2 linked regions of the Caenorhabditis elegans genome follow. The protein of the gene in region 2 purifies or fractionates together with the protein of the main gene of each other region. This does not show direct contact. Each region holds a gene or a part of one and is shown on either strand. Other genes may lie near its edges.

Evidence for each region. Proteins that work in one complex are often made in the same cells at the same time.
Region 1: the proteins of ZK938.3 (region 2) and C48E7.6 fractionate together in Caenorhabditis elegans (co-fractionation; one large-scale study listed by BioGRID). This does not show direct contact.

What each region holds. Positions count from the first base shown.
Region 1 is NC_003279.8:6,233,915-6,239,596, reverse strand, and holds the start of C48E7.6 (Chondroitin sulfate proteoglycan 4), read right to left. Parts: upstream 3,464-5,682; 5' UTR 3,386-3,463; coding exon 3,091-3,385; intron 1,809-3,090; coding exon 1,724-1,808; intron 1,024-1,723; exon of another isoform or gene 887-1,023; intron 441-886; coding exon 374-440; intron 76-373; coding exon 1-75. Other genes in the region: C48E7.7 (MS Related Protein), read right to left, coding at 4,309-4,687, 4,733-4,812; col-56 (Col_cuticle_N domain-containing protein), read right to left, coding at 5,317-5,508, 5,555-5,631, 5,679-5,682.
Region 2 is NC_003280.10:9,830,819-9,836,278, reverse strand, and holds ZK938.3 (ATPase AAA-type core domain-containing protein), read left to right. Parts: upstream 1-2,323; coding exon 2,324-2,506; intron 2,507-2,547; coding exon 2,548-2,689; intron 2,690-2,734; coding exon 2,735-3,076; intron 3,077-3,131; coding exon 3,132-3,247; intron 3,248-3,409; coding exon 3,410-3,592; intron 3,593-3,645; coding exon 3,646-4,203; intron 4,204-4,261; coding exon 4,262-4,418; intron 4,419-4,461; coding exon 4,462-4,631; 3' UTR 4,632-4,758; downstream 4,759-5,460. Other genes in the region: arrd-5 (Arrestin C-terminal-like domain-containing protein), read right to left, coding at 221-310, 356-555, 600-675, 718-820, 871-1,058; ZK938.12 (uncharacterized protein), read right to left, coding at 4,779-4,946.

The DNA.
Region 1 (5,682 bases), on a different chromosome or scaffold from region 2:
AAAATTAACATCTTGACTGCTTGGCATGAAGTACACATTTTTCCATTGCAGAGGCATGGATCCACCTTCATTCAACTGAAAATTACTTTTTGACCGAAATACTTCAATAGTTCAGCCTGTCTCCTTGACTTTTGCCAAAATTATTAAGAGGCAGCCATGAGGTACTACAATTTTTGTTCTAAAAAACATGTGTTAATCCGCGGAGTGAGCAAAAAGTGTGGTCAATTTTAACATGGAAATTTTGTTTTTCAAAGCAGATTTGAGTGTTACAGTTTGTGCTCATTGTTTGTTTCAATACCTGGTTTTCTCTATTTTAAAGATTGTATATTAATCGGTCCCATACTTCTCCATCAGAGTAAAAGATTAATCTTACCTCTACTGGCTCCGCCACATAAATCGGTCCTTTTTCTGGATTTTTTGCCGCATTTTTTGAGTCGATTCTGGAAATTGGAAGGCAGAATTTTTAACGCATGTTGAAAATGTTGCAAATAATTTTAATATCATGTTGGTAATGTGTTGAATATTTTAACACAGTCAACGAAATATATATTGATAGACATCTCCCGAACTCATTTTTTACGATATATTTTTGAACGTATTAGTGTAAAATCATGTGTTTGAGTTTCAGAACCTTTAGGATATGCATTCAAAAATGGGCTTGCTAAATTTTGCCTTTACGGGTAAGTTAGGAAAATTCCCTAAACATTCTTTAAAATAGATGTTATTAAAGTTATTTCGGATTTCTATGAACTGAAAAACATTTAAGTCCCTCACTTTATCATATTTGTTATTTTTATTCAATATCCCCCATTACCTATAGTCACAGGTTATTTTTCAGTGACCACTGACTTTTTTACTAACAAACAACTCTTTGCCACTGCCTCGCCACCCCATAAATCCCTCTCAAATGTGCCAATTTTATCGGCCACAAAGTATCAAATTCTGGTGGTCTCCATCTCTATCCAGCGTATCCCATTCTTTGCCTAAATCTCTCTCAATTCAGCACTATTTCGTGATTCTCAATTTTTGATACTCCACTGTCATCACTGACTTTAAACCAGTGAAACAGTGCCAAATGATGTGGACACGCAGACATATGGATAATAATAATGTGGTAAAATAGTGCGAGATTTGATTCGTCGCAGAGAAATTGCTTCAAGATGTTGGAAGAATGGAATGGAAAAAGAGTTGCCGACTGGACGACAGATTGATGATTGAGTGAAAACGAGACCGCCCATTATTCATGGTTTCAATGATAGGGACACATGTTTGTTACGTCTGATTGTCAAAGTCTTCAAGATATATACACCTATAAGGCAGATGTATACTGCCTGAAAACGATCTACACATTTTCAGTCGAGTTGTCACTAAAAGTAGACACATGTTGCCTTCACGTACATTTTTGTCTGTTTGTTTGTCTTGTGAAAAGTACACCGATTTTTTGAACTAAATTGGAACCTGAGAAATTAATAGAAGTGTCAGTTTGTATATTTTCTACAAGGAAACCCTTAAATGCAGCCTACGCCTACTTGCAGTGAATTTCAAATTTTCTTCACATGATAGTATGGATAAGGTCGCCATTGGATACACATGCCTTGAATGCCTACAATATGCCTGTACCTTCATGAAAGTCTAGATTGAACATAGTTAACGTTTCTTTTGACACAGAAACGCTCAAACGGTAAATCCAGATCTAATTCCTTTTTTTAATGTTTTAACTCACCCGCATATCCGTTGAGTCAAAATTGAGCTGGATTGAGTGATATCAAACATACATCCTTTGAGCGCTGTTTCGTTTATTGTGAGCCCTACAATTTGTTTGAATTCAACTTTGTATTTTAATATTTTTTATTTTTCTATTCAACTCAAGCATCCTCTTCTAACACATGGCTCATAAAAATGAAGAAGAAGAAGAGAAAACATATAATTTACAAAATGTGTCGGTTGGTGGTGAACAAGTGCAAGTATAAACAGGGATGATGGAAGGACACATGTGTTGACACTTGCTAATTAGTCCAACAACTATGATTTTTTGAAGAAATGGGTTAAACTTTTCCGGGAATCTTGAGGTATCTACTGCCTACATTTTGAGATAAAAAATACAGTTTTATTGACCGGGAAAAGAAGAAATGGCGGGATTTGGCTTCGAAGCGAGTTCTTAGAAATTGTTTTCTTATTATACTTTTTGACTCGGTAGTTAAAAAAATTAGCTGCAAACCCCAACTCCCAATTTTTGTGAAGAATTCAGGGTAAAGAAAAAAACGGAACTGTTGTGCAAATACTCGAAAAGTTCAATTTAACAATTTTGCGCAATAATTGAAAATATGCTGAAATCATACTCAAAAAATAAGTTTTACAATCTTTGTATGTCCTTTTCAGCAATTTTCAAAAAAAGCTAACAAATTTCTATTAGGTCTATTTGAAATGTCATGTTCATCGGAATGATCTGCTGATGAATTTTCAATGACTCTCTTTCCTTTTTAAGCTTCTTCCTCTCTCTCTCTCTCCATCTCCTTCTTCTTTTCTCATTCATTCATCTTCATCAATTGTTTATTACGGAACAAACATAGAGAACAGCAACAACAACATACCGAGATGCTCCAGAATACTCCAAAGAGTACTCTTTTGCTCATTTCCGGCGCCGGCTCCAGCTTCCAAAAGGAGCCGAAAAGAAGACTAAAGTGCTCTTTTTGTTGGTGTGCTTTGAGGCAGCCGCTATGATTCTAGCACAAAAACTATTCTAGCCACTTGCAGCAAGCGTCTTTCCAGATTTATGAGATTGGTTTTCACTTAATATCGGGGAGGGAAGATTGAAATCTCTAATTTTAGGAAGAATTTTTCAAGTTGCAGAAACTCGTTTTGTTGTCATCATCGACATCGAGAAACTGGCAACCAGCAAACATGAGCAGTAATTCAAAAGTCTTTTTTCAAACGCAAATCGGAGAGTTTGAAGCAATCATTTTGTAAAAAAAAGCGAAATGAGTCAGATTTTTCTACTGATTTCACAATTAGATATAATGTTTCAAAAAATTTCAAGGTTGTTTTTACAGTCAGGAAGTAATTCGTTCGTTAATTCTTTCGGTAACTTACCGATATTTGGAGCTGAACACAATGTTGGAGAATAAACCAGAGAGTTTGCATGTGGACTTTGAAAATGTAAAGAAATATGTGAAATACATTTCAATGAGAATGATGTAGTCTCATTTTCAGAAATAGCTGATACAGGAATCGAATCCGCGTAGATGTGTCCATTGTGAAATGATAATGATAAGTTTTTGGACGGTGTGCTCAATATAATTGGTGCAGGATTAACCGATGGTCCGTTGATTTGTAGATCGAAAGTTAGGGGAGATGTGATAAGTGATATCAGTGCCAGAAAAGCCATCGGCACATTTGGCCTAGACTGTACTGAAATGGAGAAAGTTTTTGGTGGGCAGTAAAAGAGGCAAGAAGTATGTTGGTCTCAGACACAGAAAGAAGCTCAAGCCACGCCCATCAAAGAGGTTCGAGGGAGGAAATGAGGGAAGGAGAAGAAAGAGGAACAACTGACACATAGTACATCATAAGCTGGCAGAAGGTTGAGGAACGAATGAAAAAGACAGAGAAAAAGAGAAATGAGGAATCAGATGATAATAATAATGATTAGATTTATTAACAGGTATACTGCGGTTGACAGGAAGATAGAGATTGCGATTTTTCATGAAATCTTGTTTGATTAATGGAATAAAAAATTTTGAAGAACTTGGTTATCACATAATATTTTATTGAGTTAGTATGAGAGCAATACAAATCGATCAAATCATTGAATCAAAGCGAAAGCCACTATTGGGACAACAATAAAGGTTTTCCAGTGGTTGATAAAGTTTTTTTTTTCGAATCAGATAAAGACGATTATTCGGTTTTGGAGGAAGATGATGAACCGACAAAATTGTGTAATATGTAATTTTCTCATGTTTGGAACTATTTCTCTTTCCCGCAAATTCTCAACCAACTTCATCAACTTTAGAGATGCCTAATTTCTGAAATGAAGGCACGACTTCATGACTACCACCCTGCTTCTTGCTTTCCTGTCCTGAATTGAAATCCTGCGAGGTTAATGGTTAGCACATCTTAAATTTAATCTAATCTGAATGGAATAAGAATTTAGCCGAACAGCTTTGATTGAGTTCAGAAACAAAGACATATTACGATAATCACATATTATTTTATTAACTGCAATAGATTAATGTAATAAAGACTTTTGAAGAACTTGGTTATCACATAATATTTTATTCAGTTAGTATAAGTTAGCAACAGAGATCAATCAAATCATTGAATCAAAGCGAGAACGACCATTGGGACAACAAAGAAGGTTCCAGTGTTGTAAGCAGCTTTTGTGGCATTGGTTGAAGTTTCTCCGAGCAAGTCATCAACAGAAGTTACATTTGGTGCAACAGTCGATGAAAGCGATGGACGAGAAGCCCCTTCAGTTGTAGCTTCGATGTTATTGGCAGCTGGAGTATCAACTGGAGCATTGGTTTCAGCATCTTTAGTCTCTTGAGTGGCTTCTACAACAACAGCTTCTGTAGTTTCTTCAACAGCTTCGGTGGTTTGAACTGGTTCTGTAGCTGGTTCTGTTTCTGCAACGGCTTTGGCTGTTGTTTCGATGAGAGCCACAGTTGCATCTTCAGTGACTTTAGTTGCAGTCCTGGAATAGAAAAGTAAAAAAGAGTAATTATAGAGAACAACTCACACAGCAACGGCAGTATCGTCTCCATTGACAATTGGAGCCAAGATGAGGAGCATGGCGAACAAGATGTTGATTGATTGCATGTCGATTGATTTGGTGCAAGTTTGCAAGATGATGGTTAGTCGAATGTTAATGTTCAAGTGAGAACTGATTTTATTTCAATTTTCTCATCTTCACATCAACTTTTATCTCGATGTTTGATCGACCTTTACGTGAAATACGTATTCATTGGACATTGGAAAAGCTCACGTTTATCTTCAAAATATTTATATTAAAATAAAAAATCATATTCAGATGCTTTTTTCAATTAAAGCAAACCAGCTGTTATGTACCACTACAGCAACCTGAAAGTATCCTTATAAGTACTATCGGAGAACCCCAAAAACCACCCAAGAAAATGTTCTATAATTATATTTAATTAGGACTGGCAAACAGGATTGATAGTAAATTGGATCCATCACGAGCAGGAGTATGACTTTACGTTTTCAATCTCACAAAATTTGTGGGGGTCAGATGAAATAGGTCCAGTATACCGCGTTAGTGATAAAAAGAAAATATAACAATCTTCATGAAGTTATAATAAAAAACTAAATATATTTGATTCTCCTTCTGTTCCAAATCGATTTTCTATTTCTCCTCGATTTCGCGACTTCAAATTCATAATAATCGTAAGAAAACTTCTTTTCTTGAGCTGGATCCACCATTTTCTGCATTTGATACGATCGGCGTGGGCAGGGACAATATGATGCGTCGAGTCCAGGCTCTCCGTGGATTCCTCTCTGAAACGTGACTCAATATATTAAAACTTCAAAAATATTGAGCTACCTTTCCAATGATTCCTGACCTTCCACTTGCACCAGGCATACCAGGACGTCCTCTGATACCTGGCGATCCAGGTGGTGCTGAAATTGGGAACTAAATAGAAAAGTGAGCATGGAGGAAAGCCAACCATT
Region 2 (5,460 bases):
ATTTTCTATAAGTGAAAACTTCAGACTAATCAGTGTCGGCCACATTAACGTCTGAACCGATCAAGTCTCTGATTAGTACAACAGTATTTAAAACTAAACTTTAAGTGCTATCATTATCGATTCTCGATTTGAAAAAAAAAATACAAGAGCGAGATTAGCTATAATTGAAATATCATTGAATTTTCAAAGAATTATTCGCATATATCTGAAATGACAATACCTTTTTGAAACTTTTCGATGTCTTATTATCCACAATCATAGTCACCGGAATATTTTCTCCACACACGAATCCTTGTTTAGGAAGGCGGAGCTGAATATTATTGTGCTTATTTTCAGAGAATATTCCTCATTTTACCTCCATTCTCACAAGCCCATTCTTCCACAAAACTGCACCAAATTCTTCACAAACGTGCTTCTTTGATGGAACCTGAGAGTTGGGAATTAACCTCAGGTCAATATTTGGGAGCACGGTTAGGCAGGTGATAAACTTGTCGTCGAATTTCCATGGTCTATCGATTTCCACCTTTATAAAATATCGAATGAATCCAAGATCTCCTTAAATTGGAAAATGGATTAGATTTTAAATTTGAAAACAAAACCTTCAAAACTCGGTGGAGCCCAGTGAGGGAGTTGGAATGAAAACGGGAAGATGTGTGGGCCAGAAGGCATATCGTTCTGGAAAATATTAATTTTGTAGAATTACTATAATTATGCTACCTTTGCTCCATCACTTTTCCATACGATGGTCTCGAAGCGACAATACACAATTTTCCCCTTGTGATCTGCACAATTGTGTCGGACTCTAGCAATATCACCGTTTCTGAAAATGGTATCATTGAATTAGTGAGTTAACAAATGTCTAGAAGTTACTTGATTTTAGTGTGATTATTTCGAACATTTCCCTCCCAGTATGTGTATGCTTTTCCGATCATTTCCATTCGAACTTTTCGAGCTTTGAACTCGTCATCTGGTATTGTCATTTTCACATTTCCGGTGACTTTTTCTCCCGGAGAAAATACCGGAGGAGATTTAGCAAATTCCACCAAACAAGTGGCCATGATTCTGAAAAATGTTTCAAATATCATGATGTAGGGTGTAAGACGCGGTTTCGTAAATATCTAGGTTAAACTAAACCATTCTTAATTTGAATGTAAATTAAATACAATGCACTAGGATTTTTATTTGAGAAAAAAATCTTTGAAATACCAAAAATACATGTATTTTTGAAAAAAAAAAGTTGGCTCCCTAAAAAAACCTTGAGCAAAAACCAAGTTATTGGTAGTTCAAACCACAAAAAAAGGGGAGTGTCCTAATTAAAAGTTTTTGCTCAAATGAGCACATAATCAGGTTATGTGCTCTTTCCGTTTTTGTCAGATCTTCTAAAAAAGAACAAAAATGCAATTTCAGAGAACAAGACGAATAGGGGTGCATAAAATTGGAGCACGAAAAAATAAATTGATGTGTTCCATTTTTTCTCTGCCTAAAAATATACATTTTCTCCGCGAAATGGGACAAAAACGAAACAAAAAAGAGGGAAAGACGAAACTAAACCGGAAATTTGGTTGAAATTCGAGAGATTTTCAGCGGATTTTTCGGTGGTTTTTGGTTATCGCGGCACAGGAGAGGCATTTGATTTTATTTTCCTTCTGAAAACAGAGAAACGAGGAAAAAGAGCCCAAAAAATAATCAAATGAGCTTGACATGAGAAAGAGCACAGAGCAAAAACAATTTTCCCCATATCTTTTTTCGTTGATCAATGTTTTACTAGGGGCTCTCCATATTTACTCAACTCACGTATAATTTGATAAATGTAATGTGGGTTGATCGGTAGCAAGACATTATAAATCAAGAAGAAATTTATGAAATTCAACAATTCTTCATAGAGAAAATAAAAATGAGCACCTGCAAGTCTACATGGTAAGCGAAATTTTCCTTCAAAGTGATCCTTTTTTTTTGCCCAGAAAAAGTTTATCACTCGAGTCCATTTATTTTTCTTAACACACGTGCTTGTGGTACACAGCACAAGATATTAGTGACTGTGTGAAAAGTTCAAGGGCGTGTAATGGTCTGGGATTTTCATAAGTAGATTCGATTTTCCGTTAGACAAAAAGTGCCTTGCGTCGCCTTTTCTTAGTTTGAATTAAAAATATATTAAAAATCCAAATAGACTTCTTTATCTTTTCGAATTGTTTTCAACACATTTTTAGAATTTCTAGCACATTCTCTCTTTAACTTTCTTTCAACCTTCAATCCTAGCACAATTTCAATAATTTCAAAATTTTTTGAGACAATTTCAAGTTTATTTTCCGGTTCATTACACTTTATGTCGGTTTGCCCACTCCCCATTCTCAAGTTATTTTCAATTTACATCCGAATGTATTCTAAGCTCTATCCAACATCTCCAAAATTTTACGGAACACATCAGACAAAAGAACGGCTTTTGCATTTGGTAACTTTAATTTCTAGTCAGCTGAAACAACTGAATCGAGGTGAAAATGTCCCAAGGGTACGTTGACAATTCTAAACTAATCTATCAATATTGTTCAGACGAGAATGGTTTCAAATTTAGCTGGAAATGCTCGGAAGGACTTGATTTTTGAAATTTATCTAAATTTGATAAGCTTCTATAAAACTTCCGATCGAATGGTGTCTATTGAAGGTTCACAAACAAATTTGAAATGTCTTCTAGGTAAGAGCTGACTTCGCAAACTCACTTATAACTCAACAATTTCAGTATCTGCAAAAATGCTGAGTTCATTCTTCTTGGACGTCTTTACTAAAATTCCTACAACTCACATTGAAAGTGGGTTTGATGAGTTTTACATATCACACAGCTTCACTCAAGAAGACGTGGCAATAACTTCAACGTGGCGTATGATAAGCCAAGCTGCAATCGGACATCACGAGCATCATCTGGAAGTGAAAAGAGCATGTCAGGAACAGAAGGCATTTAGAGAATCATTTCTGAAAACGCAAACAGATTTTGATATTGATTTTGAAAATGCTGAAGCTGAACAAGAAACACAACTTTTGTCGATCGAATATGCTGTGCTCATTATACAAAAATTAGAGAGAAGTTGATATTATTTATTGGCTGTTATTCAACAATCGCTGTAAATATTAATTTTCAGAGTATCAAGCAATTTCTCGTAGAAACTATGTCCGTTTTGTTAGAGAACGAGCAGCGGAGCTTCATGGTCTGAAAGTCGAAATAGATGCGACGCAAGCGGCAATTAGGATTCAGGCGGTGAATTTAAATTTACTTTTCTTCAATGCTGTCATGACAGGCGCTCCTCTTTAGGCATATTGTCTCATGCCTACCTAGGTAGGCAGCCATTTCTGTGCCATGGTGGAAAGTCAACTTTACAAAAATCCGAATATTTCCTTTATTTCTATAGAATTTTTTCAGAGAACCCGTGGATACTTTGCTCGAAAGTTGGTTCGAGAAATGCGCGAAAAAGAGCTGAATATTCTGAATATGACTCCAGAAAGTTATATCCGAAAGAGATGTGCAGAGAGGGAGCGGAAAAGGAAGGAAGGTCTTGCTGGTGGCGTTGGTGGAGGGGAAATAATTGAACAAATTGAGGAGTTTGTGAGCCTTTATTTTTTGAAACAAAATTTTGATCTATTTTTTATTTATTTTAGAACACCGACTTAGCCGAAGCATTGAAACTTCTAAAGACACATTTCTTTTTCCCGACTTCCGATCTTACTGATATAAAACCATCTGCACTTCCGATTGATTTGAACAACCAGGAAACTATATTCAGAGATGCTTGCTTCCGTGGAATCGTATCCCCACTTGCACAAATTGAACTTTCAGAACTAACTTCCCAGAGGGAAATATGCAAAATTGAAAATCGGCAATTTAAATTTGATTTCCGCTCATTCCTTGTTCAAACCGTCTGTACTCCATGTTCACTTGGCACGTGGCAAAAACAAAAGTCGAAAGATCAGAAAATGCAGTGGCTATTGCTGTCAGGAGCTCCAGACTCGGGGAAGACTACGTGGGCGAGAGCAATATCGCGTGCATGTCATGTCACACACGTTCACATTTCGAAAAATGTCGTGAATATGGGAAAACGCAAAATTTATACGGTGGTTAAAAAGCTGGCAAAACAGGAAAAACGACTATTGGTCAGTATTGATCGAATTGACGTGATGAAGAAGGATCCCAAGCATAAAGGGTACACACATCGACAGGTACCGTACAAAAAACTATTATACTATGCACAATTGTTTTAAAAACACACGTTTACAGATACTTCTCCGAAACTTCCTATCCGATCTTTCGAATATAAAATTTGTTATGGTAATTGGGATGACAAGAGTTCCCCTGGACGACTTGGATAGTTATATTTCTGATTTATTCCCTCTCCAAGCAACTCTCAGTAACCCAACCAACGCAACTAGATACGGTAGGCCACATCAACTACAGTAATATAGTTTTCAAGTTTTCAGATCTTGCGGTAGATTGCTTAAGTCGGAACTGGGAACAAGAACGGCTGCCAAAGTTTCCAAATCGAATTTTTGACATCGAAAAGCAGACAAAAGATCAAACAAGAGGAAAAGCGGCAAAGTTTGTGACAAATCGATGGAGTGCCGCGAATAATAAGACAACTTTATCATAAAGTTGAAAACAACATTTTAATCATCTGGTTTTCTGGCACCAGTTTAGATTAATTCACTTAAAATATTCAATGAAATTAACTTTATTCAATAAATTACTTAAATTTAAATAAAATTACTTTATTATAATCATCATGGTATAAAGTGAATCAAGGACGAATTGGAGCAGGAACGTAGATTGGTGGCACCAATTTCATAGTGGGACGAGATGTGGTTGTTGGTGATTTCTTCATCGATTTGTAAATAGCCATATTGAAACCATTTACAAAATAATTACAAAAGATGAGAAAGAGAATTGGCACAAGGAAGAGCTTCATTTCTTGTTGGAAATGAATTGAACTTTGATTCTTGGACTGAATTTTTTATTCGTGGAAAGTTCACATTACTGTTCAAAAATTAAAACATTTATATTATGGACAACTCGAAAACTTATACAAATTACCAATACCTTATAGCATGATCAAAGTTCATACTTCTATTGCATCCTCTATAGGAAAACGTAGGAGATTTTGTGTTTTGCACAACAAATACCAAAAATTGAATATAACAACTGAATCCTTGCTACGCCCTTATAAAAACTGATGAAGCTCATTGACATTGGGAGGGTTTCAGACCTGGGAGCTCCAAAATGAATCCCTCGTTTCAAAACTGCAACAAAATATTTAAATGTCCATCTGCGTGAGCGGTTCGTAAGTTATGGGCCAACTATTTAACTGCTGACCCGCTCAGAAAAGGTTTTAACAGAAGGAAATAAAAGCATCGGCAAAGGCAGTTTGTAATTCTCCACACTTTCCTTTGATTTTATTTCGACTAAAGCTTTTAAGCTTTTAA